Coturnix japonica: one gene and its partner. Each later gene encodes a partner of the first gene's protein in a complex. Links are inferred from orthologs where the notes say so. Each region holds a gene or a part of one and is shown on either strand. Other genes may lie near its edges. The genes, in order: EXOSC9 and EXOSC1.

Region 1 (4,509 bases):
CTTCCCCAATTTGGGCTGTGCCGGGAGTGTGCAATATTGGTTTGGCAAAACTGAAGTAAAGAAAATCTTGGAGTTAGTAATCGCACTGTATTAAGGCAAAATAGTTGATTTTCAGCTGTAATTTTTCTCCCCAGGCCTTCAATGAAAGTTAAGAAAGCGTGATCTTTCTCCACGTGGTGAGACAACTAGTTACTTCAGCCCTGTTTTGCACTTTCTGTTAAGAATCCAGTTAGCTAAAAGCAGTTAGAACTAAAATCAGTGTAAGGCTGTTTCCTCTGAAGGCTATAGGGCCACCCGGAGCCATCTGATAGCTTGAGTGTCTTACTAGCTTCTAGAAGGGCCAGTGCAGATAAGAGGAAAACTCCCCCCTGGAATAACGAATAGAAAACATACACTTCTGAAGGAGGGTCAGCTTTAGTTATGATTTCTTCTGCTTGTTCTTCCACATTGTTGGTATCTACAGCAGCACTGTCCATTTTGAAGGCAGTGATCTTCTGATTTGATATCGATTCTGCAAAGCCGAACTTCCCACCTTCTTTCCTAGTCATCCAACAACAGACGTTATTTCAGGATATTTCACATATATGAATATAGCAAGCATTTCCATACTTGTAATACTTGAAATGATTACAAACAGAAACAACCTGCTGTTTCATTATAAACTGGCATTAACTTTTCAATCAGTTCTTCAAAGTACTTTCCATTCCTTCCCCAAAAACTCACCTCACTTTCTGGTCGTTCTCCAAAGCTTTCTGAATTAATTCTGTTATTTCCGCAACCTTCACAGCTGTTATTTTACTGCATCTCAGAACCTGTACGTTACATACACGGTAACAGTTTAGAATCATGAAAACATGACTTAAAATAGAACCACAGAACAGATCCTTAAATGTTTTCCTTGACTTTTACCTGATCCTTTAATAGCATAATCCCTCCACTAGACTGGATGGTACAAATTTCCTGATGTTTATTCATGGCAATTACAAGGAGACCATCCATCACACGTTCCTCTCGTTCATTTGGATCCACCAACAAATACGTCCTAGAACCAAGTTTTTAACATAAGACAACAGAAGTTTGAGGTTGACTTTGACTCCCTTGTAACAGTTTTCTTCCTATCTGTGCAAGCTGCTGGCTACTATCACACTGTGGAGAACACGTATGAACGTGTTAAGAAAGCTGTCTGTCAACAAGAGTATTTTCACAGTGCTGTAACAATAATTTTGCACAACTGACAATAAGCTGTTTCTGTCAAGAGCTTTAAGAAGAATTCTTACCCCTGCTGGAAGAAGGCAAAACTGACACAAATAGGCATGTGGTGGATGCTCAGGGGCACAGGATCACGTTCCTCAGGAGAGTACTGAGAAAAGAATTGGTTATTGGTTACTTACATTGTGCAAGAGCAATGTAAAGAAACAGAAAGCAAAGAAAAAAAGTCTAGTCAACTAAATATTAATAAAAAATCTCTTTTGGTTCTCCTTGTATAATACTTCCCATTTACGACTTATGGAGGTAAACCTGGTATGACTTACCACCGTTATTTCTTTTCCTTGCACAGAAACATCTGGTCTGCGAAAATGGCATAGGGCCACGATTCCTGCTATGCTGGCAGCATCTATAATGTTACCATCGTGATTTAACAGGTGCAGATCCACACGGATTTGCCAGACCTGAGGGAAAACATGTATAACTGGCAATGTGTAACATAATTCCACAGAAGCTCCTGCTTTTCCAAGACACTTCCAGTTTTTGAATCACAAAAAAGAGCAGCTTACATTCCTCGAGTATTTGATTTAAGAGTTAGGATGAAAAAAGACCAGTATTCAAAACAAGACAGAGCACCTGAAAAAGTGACTTTTATGTTTAAAATCATTAAACATGTTTATATGTGATTGAATTCGAGAAATATTTAGATGTATAACTAAGGGACGTGGCTTAAGTGGGGAAATATTGGTGCTATGTGGATGGTTGGAGTGGATTATCTTGGAGGTCTTCTCCAAGCTCAGTGATTCTATGCAATGGTTTGAGACTGGTAGTTTTCTCCTACCTTTTCACCAGCAACAACGCAGAGGGATTCTGTATCTATACACTTGGAATTCCTCAGGCATCGTTCTATCAGTCTGTTCACTTTGACCAGTAACTCGGATTGCCTGTTCAAACAAAATCAACCCAAATTCAACATCATTATGGTACATACTTGTGCGTGTCCAAGCAGTGGTTCATACATTATCACAGTATCAGTCTCGTGCGGGTTGGAAGGGACCTTAGAGATCATCAAGTCCAACCCCTGGGATTCGAGCCTCTGTGTAGCAGAGCGGCACTTCTACCACTTGCACCATTATCCTTGCCTGGACTTCTTAAGAAAGCGACGTACCTGCCAGGCTCAAAGCCAGGTGCAGCCATGGGTGAGAGCTCCAGGTTACAGAACAGAATCCCTTCTGTAGCCCGGTTTGGCTTCGGGGGAACGAGTTCACATGAGACTTGCCCAAGGACCCTGCAGAAGGAAATAAGCAGCTAGGTCAGAAAGCTTAGCAAGAAAATACCTAACGATGGAAACAAAACATATAAAGAAAAAACAAAGACCCATGTGGATGTTTTCTAACACATTTCTCGTTGTTCAGCTCAAGTTTCCTTTCCTTCACCCTGAGGGCGGTGAATGCGCATAGAGCTGTGTGTGTCCCAGCCCGGAGACCCCCGGCCGCTCCTACCTGGTCTTGCCCAGCTCCACCACGCAGCAGCCGCGCTCGGGCCCGAAGGAGATGCGCACATTGCGGTAGTCGTAGCACTGCCGCCCGTCCAGCCGCTGCGGGGACAGACACACACACACACACACACACGGGGCGGTCAGCGCACCACGCCGGGCCGCGCCGCCCCGCAGCTGAGGCGACAAGGGCCCGGGGCAGGGTACGGGGCAGGGTACGGGGAGGCCGGTCCGGCACCGCACCTTCCTCTCCTGGATGGCGCGCAGCAGGAAGCGCCGCTCGCAGTTGGACAGCGGCGTCTCCTTCATGGCAGACCCCACAAACGGACGGCGTGAGCTCGGCTGCGGGACGTCATCAACACGCGGCGGCCGCTCCAGCCGCCTCACCACAGAGCGCGGCCGGCGGAGCTGCTGAATGGGGCCCCCTGGCGGTGGGCGGACGCGATTCTTCGGTGCAGGCGCCTAGTGCTCTTTGTGAGAGGAATTCCTTCTTCCCTAATACCCAGCCTACACCTCCCTTGGTGCAACTTGACGGCATTCCTTCTTGTCCTGTCACTGTGACCCAGAAGAGGCCGACTTCACCTCACCGTGACCTCCCTTCCTGAAACTCAGGACTTGGTCTTGTTGAAGCTCATACAGTTGGTCTCAGCCCACTGATTCAGCCTATCCAGATCCCTCTGTAGAGCCTTTCAATGTCATTTTGCCTGACAGTAGAAGTAAACACTTCTCTTCAATGAGAAATCTTCACTGTTATTGAACCAGCCCACATTAAATCAACTTATCTTGCTATTTCTTTCCACCTTTTCACTGAATCATAGAGTGGCCTGGGTTGAAAAGGACCGCAGTGATCATCGAATTTCAACCCCCTGCTATGTGCAGGGTCACCAACCAGCAGACCAGGCTGCCCAGAGCCACATCCAGCCTGGCCTTGAATGCCTGCAGGGATGGGGCATCTACAACCTCCTTGGGCAACCTGTTCCAGTGCGTCACCACCCTCTGTGTGAAAAACTTCCTCCTAATATCTAACCTAAACCTCCCGTCTCAGTTTAAAACCATTCCCCCTTGTCCCTTTGTTTTTTTGGTTTGTTTATTTTTCCCCACCACCTCCCTTTTCCTTTTTTCTATTTTTCTCTTTTTTGGGGGGAGGGGAGGAGAGGGTTGGAAAGTACAATGACTTACTGCCAACTGTATTTGGAATCACTGGTATTTGTGCTCCAGGTGTGAAAACTGGACCTGCAGCGTTTGCATTGAGGTCGACCACAGCAGGCAAGCAATTAAGCTTAAGCATTTTTCAGTGCAGTTTAATTCTCGTAGCTTCTGTGCAAGAAGAGAGAGAGCTGAATTTCATGCTTAAATGGACATTCTGTGCATGACTAATGCAGCAGTTCAGATATTTAGCAGGAAGTATCAGGGCTTCCTTGGGTATCTTAGCTGTCACTGTTATTGATTCAGCATGCTGCTTATCTTGGGAAGGATAAATTAATCAGTTCTACTTGGATCTCGTTCACTAGCACTGTTTTGTTATAACTGCTGCATTTGCAAGGGAAGATAATGCTTACCATCTCTCTAATACTCTTACAAAAAACATTATATTGTCTACCAGTGAAAAAGAATTGAAATCTGGAAATGGATGCATTGCTCAACAAGTCATCCACATTAGCTAATAAGTTGTACTATTCTTGCAGACTATATGGACAGTGGGATTTTTGCAGTAAGGGGTTGCTCAGTAGTGCAGATGAATGAAAACCAGTTTTGTGAAGCATTTGCATTTCAATATGAAACAGCTTTTCATGAAACTCTCTTCAGGT
Region 2 (3,745 bases), on another chromosome or scaffold:
GACAAGGGAAGGAGCGTGTTGTCTGGGATCTGTATTTGCCATGTGCTTCCTCCAGCCAAAGCCAACTTTAGTCCTGCATCATGGAGGTGGTTAGATGCCATTGTGTACCCATCCCACAAACGTCTACTTGGCACTGTCACTGTAGCCTCCCCCACTGCTGCTGTAGTGAGTCTGGGCTTGCACTGGGTCAATCTAACTGTCCAGCGGTAGCAGTTGTCTTGTTCCAGTTCAATAAAAGATGAATATGCAATAATTAAATGTCAGCGTTTCCTTGTGCCACTGCGCCACGTGGAGCTCCCACTTTGCCTAGCACCGCATTTCCTGCACCACCACGTGTCTGTGATGCGCAAGTTGCTGCTGACTTGTGGGTGCAGAAGGTGCTCAGACTGCACAGCAAAGCACAGTTCTGCAATCCTCGCTGCAAAGAGTGATTCACTGCAGTGCTTTATGGGCTCTGGGCTGTGCCACACCTCTGCCTAACAAAGGGCATGTATGGCCTGAGGTGATAAGCCATCCTGGGGATGAGCACAGCAGCCATAGATGGTGCTATGTACCACTAAGCCTCAAAGCCTCGCTGCTCCCCAGGACAGGAACAGACTTTCTCACTCCCACACTGATGGGAGAAACAGCCCCCTCCAGCAGCTCCAGAGCAGAAGGGCTACAGGCAGCCAGAGCAACCCCTGCGGGCAGTGACTGAGCAGAACACAGAGCTCTCAAAAAAACCACGTTTATTTATTACTTACAGCACAAATACAAAACCCATCCTGCTGTATGGAAGATGCTGGACCCCACCATAGCAGCTCTCTTTCCTGGGGTCCCTGTACCCCTGAGGAGGCTGCTATGTCTGCAGGAACTGAGGCTGCACACGGGCCACCTTACGGAAGTCCTTGGTGTGCGTCTGTGGGCACTGCATCTCACACCAGCTGATAGGCACCATCTGCACCCCTGCAGGCATCCTCAGTTAGCAGATCCCTTCCTGCTTTGTCACACTGCCCAGCCCCAGCAGCCCAAAGCCTCCTCGTGCAGCCCCTGAGGCTCAGCAGTGGGAGGAAAGGAGGGTGTTTGCTCCCCATGCTGCACTGGCTGTTCCTCACATGGAGATGAGGATTCCTACCTGCGTCGCTGCGTGCCACCACCACACCCAGCTCGTTCTCTGCCGTGCTCAGCAGGTAGTTGGACTGTGCATCCCCCAGCGAGATCTGGTTAGGTTTGTGTTAAGGGAAAGACTCCCTGCCTCTATAGCCCAGCACAAACCCTCCAGGCCCGTGGGCCCTCCCACTGCGATGGGAAAGGATACGACTTTGGCCAGGACTATGTCACCGGGGCGGAAACTCTTGTAGACTTCTACCTACGTGGGAGGGAGTGGACAGGAGTGCATGGAGAGCGCAGGTACTGCTCGATAGGCACCCCATGGGCAGCAGCACGAGGGGAGCTGGACAGGGGGAAGCTGTAACAGCACTGTACCCAGCAGTGCCCCGCTGACCTTATCCTTTTCAGTAGCTCGAATGTCTTCCCTCCTAGAAAAGCAGACACAGGAATGTGATACCAGAGAGAGCCAGGAGGAGCTGCCCCGGCCTCCCTGGACGGCAGCCAGGCCTCGCTAGATGCATCCACGCAGCTGTCCTCGCAGCAGGCAGGCACCGCGCAGTGTGCCCCCTGCCCTTTCCCTACCGTATGGTGCCACGGAAGGTGGATTTCAGCGGCGTGGAGCCAACGTACAGGATGTTCACTTTGGCAAACCGGGAGTTGATGCTGCACACCTGCACCAACGGGCGGCGGGCACTCAGCGCCCGCGCAGCGTGGGCCGGGCCGGGCCGGGCGGCTCCTTGAGTGTCCGCCGCCGTCCGTCCGGAGCTCCGTGAGCCGAGCACACGGCCCCGGCCGCGGGGACACGTGGGGACAGCGGCACCCACCTTACACGTCACCACGGAGCCCACGTCGGGCAGCAGCTGCGCCTCTGCATCCCGCACCACCGACACCACGGGCAGCTGCGGGGCACAGACAGATGGATAGACACACAGACACACACACAGACACACACACACACACATAGACACACACACACACCCGGTCTCAGCCCGGTCCCGCCCCGTTTCCCGTTCCCCGCCGTGCTCTCACCGCCCCGTCCCGCTCGCAGCGCCGCACGCATCCGCTCAGCGCAGCGAAGATGTTGCCGTTCCGCACGTAGGTGCCGCTCCCCGCCGCGTTTCCGTCCGCTCCGCACAGCCGTTCTCCTGCGGGTCGCTCGCTCAGCACCGGTCCCGCACTTACCGGCCCGTCCCCCCCCGCCGCCCGCCCCGCACTTACCGGGCACGCAGTACCGAGCTGGTGGCGCCATGTTCAGCGTCGCGCGTGAGCCCGCAAAGAACCCTCCTCCTATTGGCTCTCAGCGACGGGGCCGCGATGTAAGCGGCATACCTATTGGTTCTCTTTTAACCTCAGGGAGCGGCGGTGTCGCGCGGCCCGCTGGGAGTCGTAGTGCGGCGCCTCGTGCCGGCCCTGCCCGCTGTGCTCAGTGCGCAGGCGCGGGGCGGCGGGCGCTGCCCGGTGCCGTGAGGGCGGCGGGAACCGGGCATGGCGGCGGGCGGCGGGGAGCGGGCGGCAGGTGCGAGCGGGAACGGGAACGGGAACGGGATGGGTGCGGCGGGGCGGGGAGCGGGGCACGGAGCGGGGCGGGCCCGCGGCCTTGGGGCGGCGTGACCGGCTGGCACGGCCGAGGGCAGCCCTGAGCCCAGCACGGGGTCACCGGGAGCGGGAGCTCATCACCCGCCGTGCGGCCGTGCCGGTACCGCTGTGTCCCGGTCCCGCCGTGTGCCGGTTGTGCCGGTTGTGCCGGTCCCGCCGTGTGCCGGCCGCTCGCTCTGTGTTCCCGGGCCGTGTGTTGGCGCTGGGCCGTGCCGCTGCCTGGCGCGGTGCCGAGCGGAGCGCTCGGTTCGTGCCTTGGCCGCATCCCGGGCCGGCCGTGCCGTTAATATTGATGGCCCGGGGGCCCTGACCCGGCGGATCGTTTGCCTCATTTCGGGCCCGGCTCGGGTTCCTCCTCGCTCCCATCGCGGCCCTCGGGTGGGATAAGAGGCTCAGCGGGAGGACGAGGGCTCGGTGCGTCCCTCTGCTGTCCGAGTGCCCGCAGCTCGGCCTGGCACAGCGCAGCGTGGCACTGTCCGGGGAGCTGCTGGGGTCGGTGTGCGATGGGCTCTGCAGCTTGGTCCGGGGCTGAGGCAAAAGGAAGAGCCGTCCAGGTGCTGCTGGGTGTGAGGAACAGGGCACGTGTTTTGTGCGGGCTCCCTCACTCCCGAATCCATTAGCAAAGGCTGCTGAGGGGATCCCCGTGGGTTTGGAGCGTTCCCTGCCCTGGAATGAGCTCTTCGCCCCATGTGCCCTCACCGTCTCCAGTTTCCTCTGAGTCAGACTCTCCGTGTCGCTCCCCAACCCCCTCCCCTGTGGGAAAGACGAGATGGGAGCAGGGAGCACCCGAGGTCAGGCGCGGAGCCTGACAGCCCCGTGTCCCCCCTCCGCACACAGAGCTCGGGAGCGCAGCATCCCTTTGGGCTCAGCGCCACCCGCTTCTGCTCCGCATCCTGCGCAGGGTGAAGGAGCCCTGCCCCGCCGTGCAGCCTGACACCTGGCCTGCCCACACCCAGCATCTGCCCACATCCAGCATCTGCCCACATCCAGCATCTGCCCACACCCAGCATCTGCCCACACCCAGCATCTGCCCACACCCAGCATCTGCCCACATCCAGCC

What was found.
Region 2: EXOSC9 (region 1) and EXOSC1 share a complex: the UniProt entries of both Homo sapiens proteins name them as parts of the RNA exosome core complex. The link is inferred for Coturnix japonica from reciprocal best matches to the Homo sapiens genes EXOSC9 and EXOSC1.

The regions. Positions count from the first base shown.
Region 1 is NC_029519.1:48,282,232-48,286,740, forward strand, and holds the start of EXOSC9 (exosome complex component RRP45), read right to left. Parts: upstream 3,081-4,509; 5' UTR 3,011-3,080; coding exon 2,945-3,010; intron 2,804-2,944; coding exon 2,709-2,803; intron 2,495-2,708; coding exon 2,375-2,494; intron 2,151-2,374; coding exon 2,048-2,150; intron 1,671-2,047; coding exon 1,533-1,670; intron 1,361-1,532; coding exon 1,278-1,360; intron 1,043-1,277; coding exon 910-1,042; intron 813-909; coding exon 724-812; intron 541-723; coding exon 394-540; intron 51-393; coding exon 1-50. UniProt on the Homo sapiens protein: Non-catalytic component of the RNA exosome complex which has 3'->5' exoribonuclease activity and participates in a multitude of cellular RNA processing and degradation events.
Region 2 is NC_029521.1:19,502,284-19,506,028, reverse strand, and holds EXOSC1 (exosome complex component CSL4), read right to left. Parts: upstream 2,339-3,745; coding exon 2,308-2,338; intron 2,235-2,307; coding exon 2,119-2,234; intron 1,989-2,118; coding exon 1,914-1,988; intron 1,761-1,913; coding exon 1,672-1,760; intron 1,518-1,671; coding exon 1,484-1,517; intron 1,349-1,483; coding exon 1,298-1,348; intron 1,200-1,297; coding exon 1,115-1,199; intron 946-1,114; coding exon 839-945; 3' UTR 712-838; downstream 1-711. Other genes in the region: palmitoyltransferase ZDHHC16, read left to right, coding at 2,337-2,605. UniProt on the Homo sapiens protein: Non-catalytic component of the RNA exosome complex which has 3'->5' exoribonuclease activity and participates in a multitude of cellular RNA processing and degradation events.